Nothobranchius furzeri: one gene and its partners. The protein of the gene in region 1 binds, or shares a complex with, the protein of each later gene. Links are inferred from orthologs where the notes say so. Each region holds a gene or a part of one and is shown in the gene's direction. Other genes may lie near its edges. The genes, in order: mad2l1, mad2l1bp and mad1l1.

What was found.
Region 2: the proteins of mad2l1 (region 1) and mad2l1bp are in contact, whole or in part, in a crystal structure (PDB 2QYF), measured with the Homo sapiens proteins. The link is inferred for Nothobranchius furzeri from reciprocal best matches to the Homo sapiens genes MAD2L1 and MAD2L1BP. Residues at the interface, in NP_002349.1 of Homo sapiens: Tyr33, Arg45, Thr52, Leu54, Lys122, Asp126, Glu127, Arg129, Ser130, Arg133, Gln134, Thr136, Ala137, Thr138, Thr140, Phe141, Leu142, Leu144, Glu179, Val181, Arg182, Leu183, Arg184, Tyr199, Asp205; in NP_055443.1 of Homo sapiens: Pro61, His79, Tyr82, Gln83, Gln85, Pro88, Leu89, Pro90, Gln93, His96, Ala185, Leu187, Arg188, Phe191, Arg192, Phe195, Asp198, Ala199, Phe200, Ser201, Glu202, Leu203, Gln204, Ala205.
Region 3: the proteins of mad2l1 (region 1) and mad1l1 are in contact, whole or in part, in a crystal structure (PDB 1GO4), measured with the Homo sapiens proteins. The link is inferred for Nothobranchius furzeri from reciprocal best matches to the Homo sapiens genes MAD2L1 and MAD1L1. Residues at the interface, in NP_002349.1 of Homo sapiens: Tyr38, Leu61, Tyr64, Asn67, Val68, Trp75, Gln82, Lys83, Ser89, Ile91, Glu92, Ser93, Gly94, Arg99, Gln101, Ser150, Phe151, Asp152, Leu153, Leu154, Ile155, Tyr156, Thr157, Asp158, Lys159, Asp160, Leu161, Val163, Lys166, Trp167; in NP_001013858.1 of Homo sapiens: Glu527, Arg528, Ala530, Leu531, Gln532, Gly533, Asp534, Tyr535, Gln537, Ser538, Arg539, Thr540, Lys541, Val542, Leu543, His544, Met545, Ser546, Leu547, Asn548, Pro549, Thr550, Ala553, Arg554, Leu557.

Annotation. Positions count from the first base shown.
Region 1 is NC_091743.1:87,157,323-87,161,374, reverse strand, and holds the start of mad2l1 (mitotic spindle assembly checkpoint protein MAD2A), read left to right. Parts: upstream 1-1,247; 5' UTR 1,248-1,384; coding exon 1,385-1,448; intron 1,449-2,714; coding exon 2,715-2,861; intron 2,862-4,052. UniProt on the Homo sapiens protein: Component of the spindle-assembly checkpoint that prevents the onset of anaphase until all chromosomes are properly aligned at the metaphase plate.
Region 2 is NC_091752.1:317,441-321,557, reverse strand, and holds the start of mad2l1bp (MAD2L1-binding protein), read left to right. Parts: upstream 1-1,274; 5' UTR 1,275-1,315; coding exon 1,316-1,682; intron 1,683-3,298; coding exon 3,299-3,567; intron 3,568-3,656; coding exon 3,657-4,117. Other genes in the region: uncharacterized protein kif16bb, read right to left, coding at 104-220, 329-439, 506-569, 641-687. UniProt on the Homo sapiens protein: May function to silence the spindle checkpoint and allow mitosis to proceed through anaphase by binding MAD2L1 after it has become dissociated from the MAD2L1-CDC20 complex.
Region 3 is NC_091744.1:8,599,054-8,602,645, reverse strand, and holds part of mad1l1 (mitotic spindle assembly checkpoint protein MAD1), read left to right. Parts: intron 1-86; coding exon 87-315; intron 316-3,592. UniProt on the Homo sapiens protein: Component of the spindle-assembly checkpoint that prevents the onset of anaphase until all chromosomes are properly aligned at the metaphase plate.

The DNA of each region.
Region 1 (4,052 bases):
TTCTACTGTTACCTCTGATGCTGCCTCACTTACTGAGGAAGAAGAAATCGCATTAGGGAGGATGCTAAAGATTTTGTTTCTAATAGAATTAATTTTACTTGTAAAAAATCCCATGAAGTCATTGCTGCTGAGGGCTAAGGGAATAGATGGCTCAGAGCTATGATTCTGTGTAAGTTTAGCAACTGTACTGAAAAGAAATGTAGGATTATTCTTATTCTCTTCAATTAGCTATGAAATATAAGCAGTTCTAGTTTGTCTAAGCTTATTTTTATAAAGCACAAGACTATTTTTCCAGGACAGGTAGGCCTCCTCATGGTGCGTAGAGCGCCATGTTCTCTCCAATTTCCTAGAGTTTTGTTTTAAAGCTCGTAAATGAGAATTAAACCAGGGAGCCAACTTCCTGTCCCTAATTACCTTCTTTTTTAAAGGGGCAACATCATCTAATGCCACACGTAAAGAGGAAGTAACATGATGAACTAAGGTATCAATTTGTGAGGGGCTAGAAATGAAAATATTGCCCTGTGCTACATGCCTCTGAGATGCTGAGGACAGTAAAGATGGAACAGTTGATTTAAAAGACGCAACTGCGTTGTCAGATAGAGACCGACTATAGTGAAATTTACTTTCATGTCTCGAGAACTCAACTCAAAGGTTATCAGAAAGTGGTCCGAGAGGACTGGATTATGTGGAAAGATCGTTATTTCCTCACACTCTATGCCATAAGTCAGCACAAGGTCTACTCCCTTCTGGCTAAACTCTTTCTCTGCCGTAGAAACTAGGGAGAGAGGTGCAGATTATTTAATCCGGCCTTCATAACAACCATTTACAACTATTTTATTTAGTCACTTGTTGGTTTGAGTCTTTACAGTGTTATAATTCTCCTGTCACAAGGTTCAGCTGTTTAAAGAGTCGGTGCAGGAAAATCCACCTCAGGACCTGCTTTTGTCCTCACACGCTTTAGCTGTTGTGTTCAGGCAGTCATTTAAACTCTCTTATAAAAAGACGGAGGTCAGACAATAAGCCGGTGACTTCATGGGAAAAACACTTTATAAGTTAAAATAAAATAACTTACATACAATAAAAACTAGATACAAGGATTAACCATCCATCCATTGTCCTCCTCCCATCTGGGCTTTGGTTGCAGACGTGACCCTGTGTGGATGAGCGGATGCAGAAAGCGGATGGCTCTACGGTTACACTTATCTACACTGCCCTCTAGGGGCATACAGATGTAAACGCAGCACTAGGGCGTGATCGGCACAAAAACGCGCATGCGCGTAGTGTCCAGCTGACACATTTTCAAAGTAGACGGCGGGTAGTTGAGTCGTACATAGAATCAGCACAAAGCTTCCTCGAGGAAAGCCAACCAGTAGCAGTTGGAAAGATGACCAGCACGCTGAAGGGAATCACTCTGAAAGGAAGTACAGAACTAGTGGCCGACTTCTTCTGTGAGTGTTCATGTCTCTGTTCCGCCTTTTGAACGCCGTTGACACGACGCGCAGCTAGCATGCTAGCGGGCCTCGGTGTGGCTCACCCAGCGTTGCAAGCTAAAGTCTGGTAAAGGGATACAAACGTGTTGCCTGAAGGTTTTTAAACAGGTCGGTGCTCTTACAGGTAGCGTTTCTGATATTTAGCATTTGGTGTAACTTTAACGTCAGTTGAACGTGTTGGAGGCAGTCCGCTCCGCTGGTGCAGAAATCCCGTTGAAAGACGAAAAAGAGCTCCGTTTACAGGTAAAACTGCACTGTTCTTGTGTGGCTTGTATGCCGAATCGATTAGAAGAGCGACATCAGTTAAATATATCGTGCTCTTATTCTACAACTTGTGTATATTCCTAGCAATCTTTGTGAAAGCTACATTTACCCGTTTAATGGACGATGTTTGGTCCAGGATGGAGTTGCTTCACACTGAAGATTCTTTACTCTTCATATTTAAATATTGCATACTTGACTCTTCCTATTCTAAACCAATCTCTGCTCACACACACACACACACACTCAGGTGCAGCAAATACAACGTACAAATGTTTTGTTTGTTCACAAAGATTTTAAAAGTTTAGCATAAAATAAGAAGGCAGGAAAACTTAAAATATGACTAAAAAATCCCTAAAGTAAAACGGGGAGTGGCCCCCTTATATCAGTTTTCTATTGGGCCATTCCCATCTGTACCAGGCCGGGTAGCCCCAGTCGGCCCCAGCCTGGCCCGGTTGATTCCACACATCCTTGCCTTAAGCCCATGTGGGCTGATTCTACCCACCAATCAGAGGCTTGCTCTAATGGAAGGTGTGAATTTGCTGTCAGCAGTGGGTGTGTTGGCCCTGGTCGGCCTGAAGCAGACCCCCTCGAGAAGAGGGCTGAGAATGAGCCTTGGTTGGCCCGGAAACATACCAGGCCACCCAGATATGTAAACAACCTACGCTACCCGGGCCGACCCGGTACAGATGGGAATGGCCCATATTTCTAGTCACAACCACCATGGTATACAAACACGTCGGTCTTCGTTCTGCAGAAACTCTTTACACTGACATGAGTCATAGGTGACTCGCTTTGCAGCACAGATGATGAGTAGACAAGCTTTAGTTTGACTGCTTGAATCAGAGATGTGCAGATGTGATTAACAGGAAACATTTCCCCCTCATTAGATCGTCTTATTCCTGTAATGAAGGGTTCTTGTGTTCTAAAACATGACGTGAAACTGCCCTCTGTTCTCCTCAGCCTTTGGCATCAACAGCATCTTGTATCAGCGGGGCATCTATCCTCCAGAGACGTTCTCCAGAGTCACACACTATGACATGAGTCTGCAGGTCACCACTGACTCCAAGCTGAAGAACTACCTGACCAACGTGGTGTCTCAGCTCAAAGGTAATTAGCTGACCGACCAACTCCGACTGGAGCTTATGCGTCCTCAAAGAGTGCCCAAACAGAGGTCAGAGGTGTGTTTGACTCGAGGGAATGCTCCTCTGTTCTTTGAGCTTTAGGCTCCACCCACATTTACCTTGTTGTTGAATCTAGGCAGCTTGGGGTCTCTACTGTAGCGTACCAAACCCAGTTGTGAAGCAGTAATGTTGTAATGGCCACGGAGAAACCGTTCGCTCTGAGACGAGCTTAGAGACGCCACCTTACATCTGCATGTGCCAACCCGCGGCCATGCTAGCTACAAATGTTTCGGTAAGCTTACCGCCGTCCGTTATTTCTGTTTATGTGGAGCTGAGAACCGACCCACTCCAAAACCAGATAACAGGTATGGGTGCCTGCAGCGGCCAAAAGGCCTCAGAAACTACCATCTGCTACTGTCTTTCCCTAATCAGTGATTTCAGCCATGTTTGCCTTTCTAACTGTAATAACTCTGCTGTATGACCCACGCCAGCATCACCTACTGTGGTGGACGTATTCATGCCTTCAAATGAGCTCATGTTGTTTTCACCTGGGCAAGAAAAACAAAATGACCAGATAATCATGACATGTCCCACCTCTTGTATTATGTCCCCCAAGCTAGACAGGTGTTGTCAAAAAAATCGATACCTAGATATAAATTGATACTAAAAGTGGTATCGATATTATAGACTATTATACACAGCCTTCTTCAAGTACACCGACACGCACGACATCCAGATGCCGTAAAGCAGCCTCCCCTTCCCAGACAAACAGAAGAAGCTGCCGCATGGCTACATTGCAATTTCCCACGCGAGTTGTCTCCGATCCAAGTTTTGTCTGCCAAATAAATAAACAAAAACATAAACATCAAATTTGGGAGGTGCTTCACAGCCCAACTTAATTAGCATACCAAATCCGGCACGTAGTTGTGTATTCACGCTTATGTGCTTAAAGGAAAACTCCCGTTTATTGCAACCCGGACTTAATTCTAGCATGCAGTACGTTTGTTTACTCACGCTGACAACTTTGGTGCTGCTTGGATTCCCCGGGGTATTTAGATCCATTAGCGAATCGCCATCAGTGTATATCCATATAACGGGAGCGGACAGGCACCCATGGTGCAGCCTCGAAATAAGACATTATCTGCACCAAAACATCTCAATGTCGAAAGTTTTTTTT
Region 2 (4,117 bases), on another chromosome or scaffold:
GTATAATAGAAGAGGTATGCATACAGCACTGATTGTTGTGAAGTCGTAAATATTGCCGTTACGCTGCAGTGTTCAGCATGCATATTGCAAGTATTTTACTTACCTTATGTCCCATCATGGTGTAAGTTTTCCCTGAGCCCGTTTGGCCATATGCAAACAAGCAGACGTTGAAACCTTCAAAAGCTGCTTTTATTACATCAGATCCCAAGTCCTGGAAAATCTGAAACAGGTGTAAAATATCCATTTTACACATTTATAGAAATAAAATGCAAGAAGTGGTTCAACACTGGTGCAAATAAGAGTTAAACAGATGAAACACAGACAGCACCTTCTCCTGGGAAGCAAACGTGGAGCTTTTACTGTCAGTTGAGTCAAAAGAGAAGTCAAAAGAAAAGATTTTGCCTCTGTCCTTCAACTTGTCTCCACGTAAAGAAGAAGGCTGAAATAAAAAAAAAATCACTCAAATGAACTCAAGTAGAATTCATTCTGTGACGGTCTAGCCTACCTTATGAATGGATGCGGTGTTCTCCTTCATATGCACAATCACCTTTGATGACAACTGTTTTTCTCTGCAACAAGCCGTGCAAAAGTTTGTTTTCTGTTTTCCTGTTAAAATAATAAGTCACTCTGTTCTACTGACCTTTTGTTCAAAGGGCGCACTCTCACCGCGACCTGAACTGAAGACATTATTAATCAAACCAGACAGACGAAGAGCCAACGTCCCGTTGCTAGAGTTTTAAGCAAACCTTGTCCTTGTTTGTTACCACCTAATCTAATCATCACACCTGGAACTGATCCTCACGTTGTCGATGCAGTGCATAAACTGTCCACTAGAGGGTGTCTCAAGCACGTTCTCCGTTTAAATGTGCCTTGGGCAAGATCAGACAATACATCACTTCATAAATATTTACTTATAACAAAAACGTTTGGTTTCCAATTGACGAAACTGTCGTTTGGTAATATTACACGTGGTTGAATCTGTAGTGTGCAAAAAACAAATATCTGAAATGTCCTGCATTCACAATTCATAGGTTAAAAAGGCATTATAAGTCCTTGCAGCTGCTACCAGAAACAGAAGGGCTGTCAAATAACAACAAACGTTTTGTGTGAACCCAAAATATGATGATGATATAAATCGTTTCTTGAGAAGTAAAATAAATGAAACAAGAATAGTTAAATTATTGTAAGAACACCAGAGTGGCGTTGGGAAGCTTATTTTTTCCGATTTTGTGCTACGTAGCTTGAATGCGACATCTATTGGATTTCCCATGATGCAGTGCGAGAAAACACCGGCGCGGACTTTCAAAAATAAAACATGGCAGATAATTCTACTTGTTCAAAACCTACATCAGTCTCGGCGGCGGCCACAGAAACGGAGACCGCTGTTGACACCACGGGTGGCGGGATAAAGGGACGGCTCTCGTTTTCACCACAGAAGGATGTTAGCGTTGATGGAGAACCCGAAATAACGCCTTTAGGCGGCAGTGCGGAAAGTGTCTCCAACGTCTCCAGTTCATGGAGCCAGCCAGAGGGAAGAGCTGAACGACTCCCGTCTGATGCCAGCGACACATGTTCAGAGACGAAAAATGATGGTAAAATAAGAGAAGAGTGTCCAGAACAACGCAGAGGGAGTTCTACTGAAGCCAAAGAAAATGCTGCTGTTCCCACAACCACGTCTCAAGGCAGGTAGCATAGAGTTAGCTTACTTTCCTGCTTTTGATCCGTTTAGGCTAATGTGCAGCTATATTTGGTTTCATACCCAAACTGTTTCCTGATCAACTTAAAATAAGCTTGTGCCGGTCAGTTTGATCAGTAGGTAACGCCTGATGATGTCAGATGTCAACATAATATTTCAAATTATTGCTTGTGGACAAAACTAAATGCAACTGACCACATTAGATGTGCCCAATAACGCCAATAAAATATACATGTGATCACGGCTAGATGGATCGGGTAATTTCAGAACAAGAGAAACATAAAACAAGATGTTTAGAAAGATACAAGTTGTTAAAGTATGATTATTTCACTAAACCAGTTAGGGTTAGGGTTAAATATTAAAACTACAACATGAGAAGCACCAAGTAGAACCGTTGAATTTTCAGCACGGTTGTTGTAGTTAGATTATTTTTAAGGATCGTCTCATTTGAAATAAGATGTTTACCTCAAAAGTCCCTTAAGCTGTGTTTGCAATGTTCTTTCTCTTTAATTTGCATTACCTCAGCTTACGTGTCATCCATCAGTCTGCGTGGTTACACCTGACGCATTTATGTTCATTTAAGGCTCTTTTCATTATTGGTTACCTAAATGTTAAAAATAAAACTAGAGAAAAGAGTCAACATCAAGAATTAGTGGACCTAGTTTTCCTTTTATGTAAACTTTGGAATTATTTAAATGAAGAAATAAATAATGCATTTATTGTAAGATGTTGTTTTTGCTAAAATGTGGTTTTTAGATTCCTGGTTTACTTTTAAAGATGCCAAAAATTGTAAGGATATTTACCAACAGATGGTCAGTTTTCAAATCTAAAAAACTTTTTTGCACATTTTTTACTAAGAATTAAATATCAGATTTTTAATTGTGTCATGTGATGCAGTTCAACATTTTATTTAGGAAAAAATTGCCACGTGCATTGCAAACCACAATTGCAAAACTCAGTTAAATGTGACTTGTTAAATGTTAACATTTGCATATTCATCTTGACTTTTTAGTAGCAAAAACAAACATCTTGCACCATTTTTCCTTGAATCGCATTTGGAAACATTTGTGACTCAAAAGCCACAAAGAGGATTGAAAATTGCTCATGCAGATTCTTTTGAAATCTGTCACATTGATGTAACTCCTTTTTCATGGCTGACACAGCACTTCCTGTGGGGTTTAAAGGTGTCCCGCTGCATGACTCTGCTCCTCCTGACTGGAGTAAGTTAAAGGAAGGACACTCGTACACATTTCTGACACTGGTTGCAGAAAGAGTTCAGCATTTAAGATCAACTCCCTTAGTGGAGATGAGTCAGCACAATGTGGTGGTGTGTTGGGTCTTGTGATTGTGTGATTTAAAAGATTTGAGTCCTGCTGAAGCACAGGTCTCATAAATCTCAATAAGATGCGACTCTGTAAGTGATTTGATCTGATTAGAATCAAAAGTAATCTTCCTCCACAGCCTGATTTCACTCCTCATGTTAGTTTTTGAGACGAGTGAGCTCATCAGGTTTATCTGAATAATGGCTCTGATACATTTCATTAACGTTGACCGTGACGGGTCCATTACGCTCTGTAATAACTTTATTCTGGTTCTGGACAGATAATGCACAAGAGGACCCTTCTGAGCCGGATTTCGATCAGACTGCCAACAATCAGCAAGTTAACACAGAGGAAAATGATGCCGAGGTGGTGAGACGAGCACGGGAAGAAGGCTGTGTGGACGTGGCCTTCCCTGGAGCCGTAACTCAGAACAGCTGCTATCGTTTCGTCAGCGAAATCCTCAAATGCATTCTCTATCAGAGACAACAGCTACCCATGACATACGACCAGCTGGTCTATTCCCAGAAGAAGCTGCATACTACGGCACAGGTAATACATAAATGTAATGTCTCACTGTCAGGTGAATTTATTGTAGATTTGAGATTAACCAACAGTGCTTGGGACGTTCTGCTTCCCAGGATAAAGATGCAGTGAGTCGGAGGCTCGCACAGTCTGCCAATAAGGACCGGCGTAAATGCCATCAGACTCTCCAGGAGATGGAGGAGGTGCTGCAGCGACTGGAGGTGCTGTTTTCCTTGAGCAGGATCCCCCGTGTTTTACTGCTGATGGGCAGCTCGGTCATCCTCCCCAAGGAGATATACGAGATCAACATGGAGGCCCTGGTACTGGCCGATGGAAGTCAGCCTCTACGAGTGTCGTCATGCTTAAGGCAACTGTTCCGCACTCTTTTTGTCGCCGACCTTTTGTCCGACACCAAACCCGTTCGCTTAATGCCCACCACAGTGTTGGCGCTGGCCCACAGGGATTGTGGTGTGGACTGGTTCCGCCCTAAGATGCAGTTTAAAGTCCCAACGCGGGTAAAAAAGCAAGTGATTGCCCTGTCTACTGACCCCGGCGCCTGTAAGAAGCTAAAGGCAGA
Region 3 (3,592 bases), on another chromosome or scaffold:
TGGAAGAAAAAATAATAAAGCCGAGCTAAAGGGCTGTAAAGGAAATCTATATTGTTGATTGATTTCTGTGTCTGTGTGTGTCTCAGGGAGACTATGATCCAGTCAAGACCCGCGTAGTTCACCTGAAAATGAACCCCACTGCTGCTGCTAAGCAACAGCGCCAACAGGATGTGGAGGTACTTCGAGAGGAAGTGACACGGCTCAGGGAACTTGTGCGTTCCTTGCAGGATGGAGGCGCAGTAGGTCTTTCACAAGGTGACTCCTACATAACCTCCAGCCTCAACCTTAATTTACCTCCATCAGAAGAAGTTCTGGGTAAGTTCAACACTCTGAGAGGTATTCATAAACACTCTAACTAAAATAACTCTAAACTTATGTACTGTGAGCATAAACTTGTAAGTCCTGGTTCACACGCAAAGACATTATGCTGATTTTTTATTTGATTCTCTCCTTTGAACAATCATAAGGATGCTCCTGATTATCGTAATAGCTTTGAAAATAAGCAAATGAGGTATACAATTTTCCTGTGGTGTGTTAAGAGTGCTTTGGTATGCTACGAAGGACATGTGGATTACTACGATCACATATCAGAGAAATTCAGCGTGTTGTATTGTCTTAGCCCAATGGTTTGTGCTGCTTGCCCATTGGACACACGGCCATGCAGTCTGTTGAATGATGTGTAGCTGATCAAAGGCAAAGTGATACAAGTATTTTACACGGAGTGACAGGAATCCTCCTCCTCATTTGTGATGTTTTACGATAACACGCTTGATGTTGAATGATGAATTTTTCTCTTTCTTTCTTTCTTTCTTTCTTTCTTTCTTTCTTTCTTTCTTTCTTTCTTTCTTTCTTTCTTTCTTTCTTTCTTTCATGACTTGTTTAGTTCATCAAACTAGAACTGATAAAGGATTCTCTGACTGGAGTTTGTCCATGGTGTCCCAACTTTAAGCAGCCACTACGCAATGCATCCTAACAGATCCAAAATTAAGAAGGCATTTTCTCAAAATGTCCTAGCTTATTAGCTGCCCATACTGTTTGCCAGTAAACGGCTTCCGTACTGATCATTCTAGCAAGTGATGGGTGGACTTCCAGAGCAACCCACTCCTTCATCACATTCAGTGCTCAATACATCAGCGACACCTGGCAGACTTCTAACTTACACACTTTGTTACTTAAGAGTATTGATTGTGAATTTTAATTCATTAATTAAATTAATTAATTAATTTAAATCAAGAATCGATTCTGAATGTCACCCTGAGAATTGGAATCAAATTAAATCGTGAGTTGTCAGTGTTTCCCTTACATAGGCGTAGCCGTGGCGGCCCGCCATGACTGAAATCCCAGCGCCACGCCTGCAAGATCCTGTTTTATAGATTTATTTATTTTTATTTATTTATTAAATTATTATTATTTTTGTTTTTGCTGTTTCCCGAAGAAGCAGCGGGAACTACTCTGTTGTTGCTTGTGATCACAGCTGGCAGGCAGCAAGGAGGAGGAGGCAGGGCAGGGTGGTTACAGCTAGGGATGAGCCGCGGATAAAGCATTTTTGATGAATACGAGCATGAAAGGAGTAAAACTCATAAATATCTGTAATTGTGCTGAAGAAAAATCCTCATTGGGTAACTGACTGCCTTCACGCTCTGTGATTGGCCAGTCACATGGAGTGCCCGCCCCTCCCTACACACAAAACTGCTCCGGCCCACACACACAGACAGTAACAGATCTCTCTGTGCTTGCTTCACTGTTGCTCAAGTTTCTTCGGTACTCCCTAGGTTTTCTTCAGCTCGCCTCTTTTTCGGTTGAATATTTAAAGTTACGTTTTTCGTAACGTACGTGGTGTATTTGACAAGACAGAGCTGAAAACGGCTTGTGCATGCGTTGGTCACTGCCTCCGCTCCGTCGGGTATCTTAAATTATTTGAAAGGGGGACAGAAGGAGATGTTTTTCCTGACACCAAGAAAAATTAAATGCCCCCCCCCCCCCCCCCGCAAAGTGTGTCACTGACAGTTCATAACAAAAACTATTCTTGTGCAAATATTAGTGTATTCACCTTTAATACTAGTTATTAAAATGCAGAAGTTGCTGGATTGGTGCAGTTCAAAATGGAGTGCATCAAATAAAACAATATTAACATAAAGGTGAGACGTGTCATAATCCCCCCCACCCCACCACCACCACAGCTGGAAAAATTCCTAGGGGAAACACTGGTTGTTGTAAGATATACACCCCTACCTGTAACATCACAGGACACTTCTTAGCCAGTAGTAATGGCTGATTCAGATTCAATGTTGTACAGTTTTTGCCTAAAGAGGACGCAACACTTGACAGTTTAAAGCTGAATTTGGAGCTTCAACTTGAATATTTTAATTTTAAATTAGATACACTAATTTATCAATAAACACAACAGTTTATTTAGGGGTGACTTGCTCTGGTAATGTTGTTGGGCGGGTTTCAGGTGGCCTACCTGAGAAAACAGCACTGGGGTAAAGTCAGCAACACATGAGTATTAAAAATGTTTTAGTACCCTATTTCTGCTGGGAATGCTGCATTAATATTTCAGGTTCCTCTGGCCCCTGTCTCCATAGTTTAGTGTAAGACAGGCAGTTAGAACAAGGGCGTGTAGTTATGGCAGGGTTAAATATGAAATTGGGCAGGTCATTGGTGAACGTCTGTTGGCCAATTTGTCTTCCAAAATGTGGCTGTCTTTTCCCACCCCACACCCACACACCATTTGGCTGCTCTGCCGTCCTTTTCTGCTGTATTTCTTTTTCTTTTTCTTGACAAAATGCATCTAAAGCACCACCTTGTGTCATATTAAATAACCAGCGTTCTACATTAAAACTAACACTAAATTACCTAAATAGAAAGGACTGTCTAGTTGACCTTTTAGTAACCAATCAAGGTTGCCTGAAAGCAAAACCTCCAATTTCACTGGGACATTTTGGCCATTTTTTTTCCATTTTGTGTAATTCTTCAAAAGATTACCTGCTACATTCACACTTCATATCACTCATAGATTTTCTGAAGGATTTATTCAAGGTTGGTGTGAAAATCTTTTTTAGAAGATGACCGAGTTTAACAGGAATGTGTGAAAATGTTTGAAGTGCAATGGATGTGTTTGTCTTTAGTCATTTTTTCAACTGGTTATGAAACATAATTTATTATGAAATTTTATTTTTTTCTTGTCATCCTTAAAGCTGCATCCCGAGATTTGCACACATTGGTGCTTGGTTAAGGAGAGATTGGCTTTTGTCTTCCCTGAAAGCTTGCAGACACTTCAGTCGTGAACATTATCAAACAAATCTCTTTCCTTCTGTAGATATTTTCACATCAGTAGGTAAACTGACCAGGTTTTCACTCCTATGTTTTCTCACCTACATGAGTTGGTTTATCTTAATGAGGTGAGTATTTTAGCTAAACAAACTGTATTTCATGAGACAGTTATTTGTTATGAAGCCACCAATGGATTATTTAGTTTTTGCTGGAACACTTACATGTCTGTGAAACACTGGACCAGCTCTATAACCTTAGGGGGATCCTGGAAGGTGCGTGGGAATTTGCCCAACCAATCTACATATGTTTTGTGGATTTT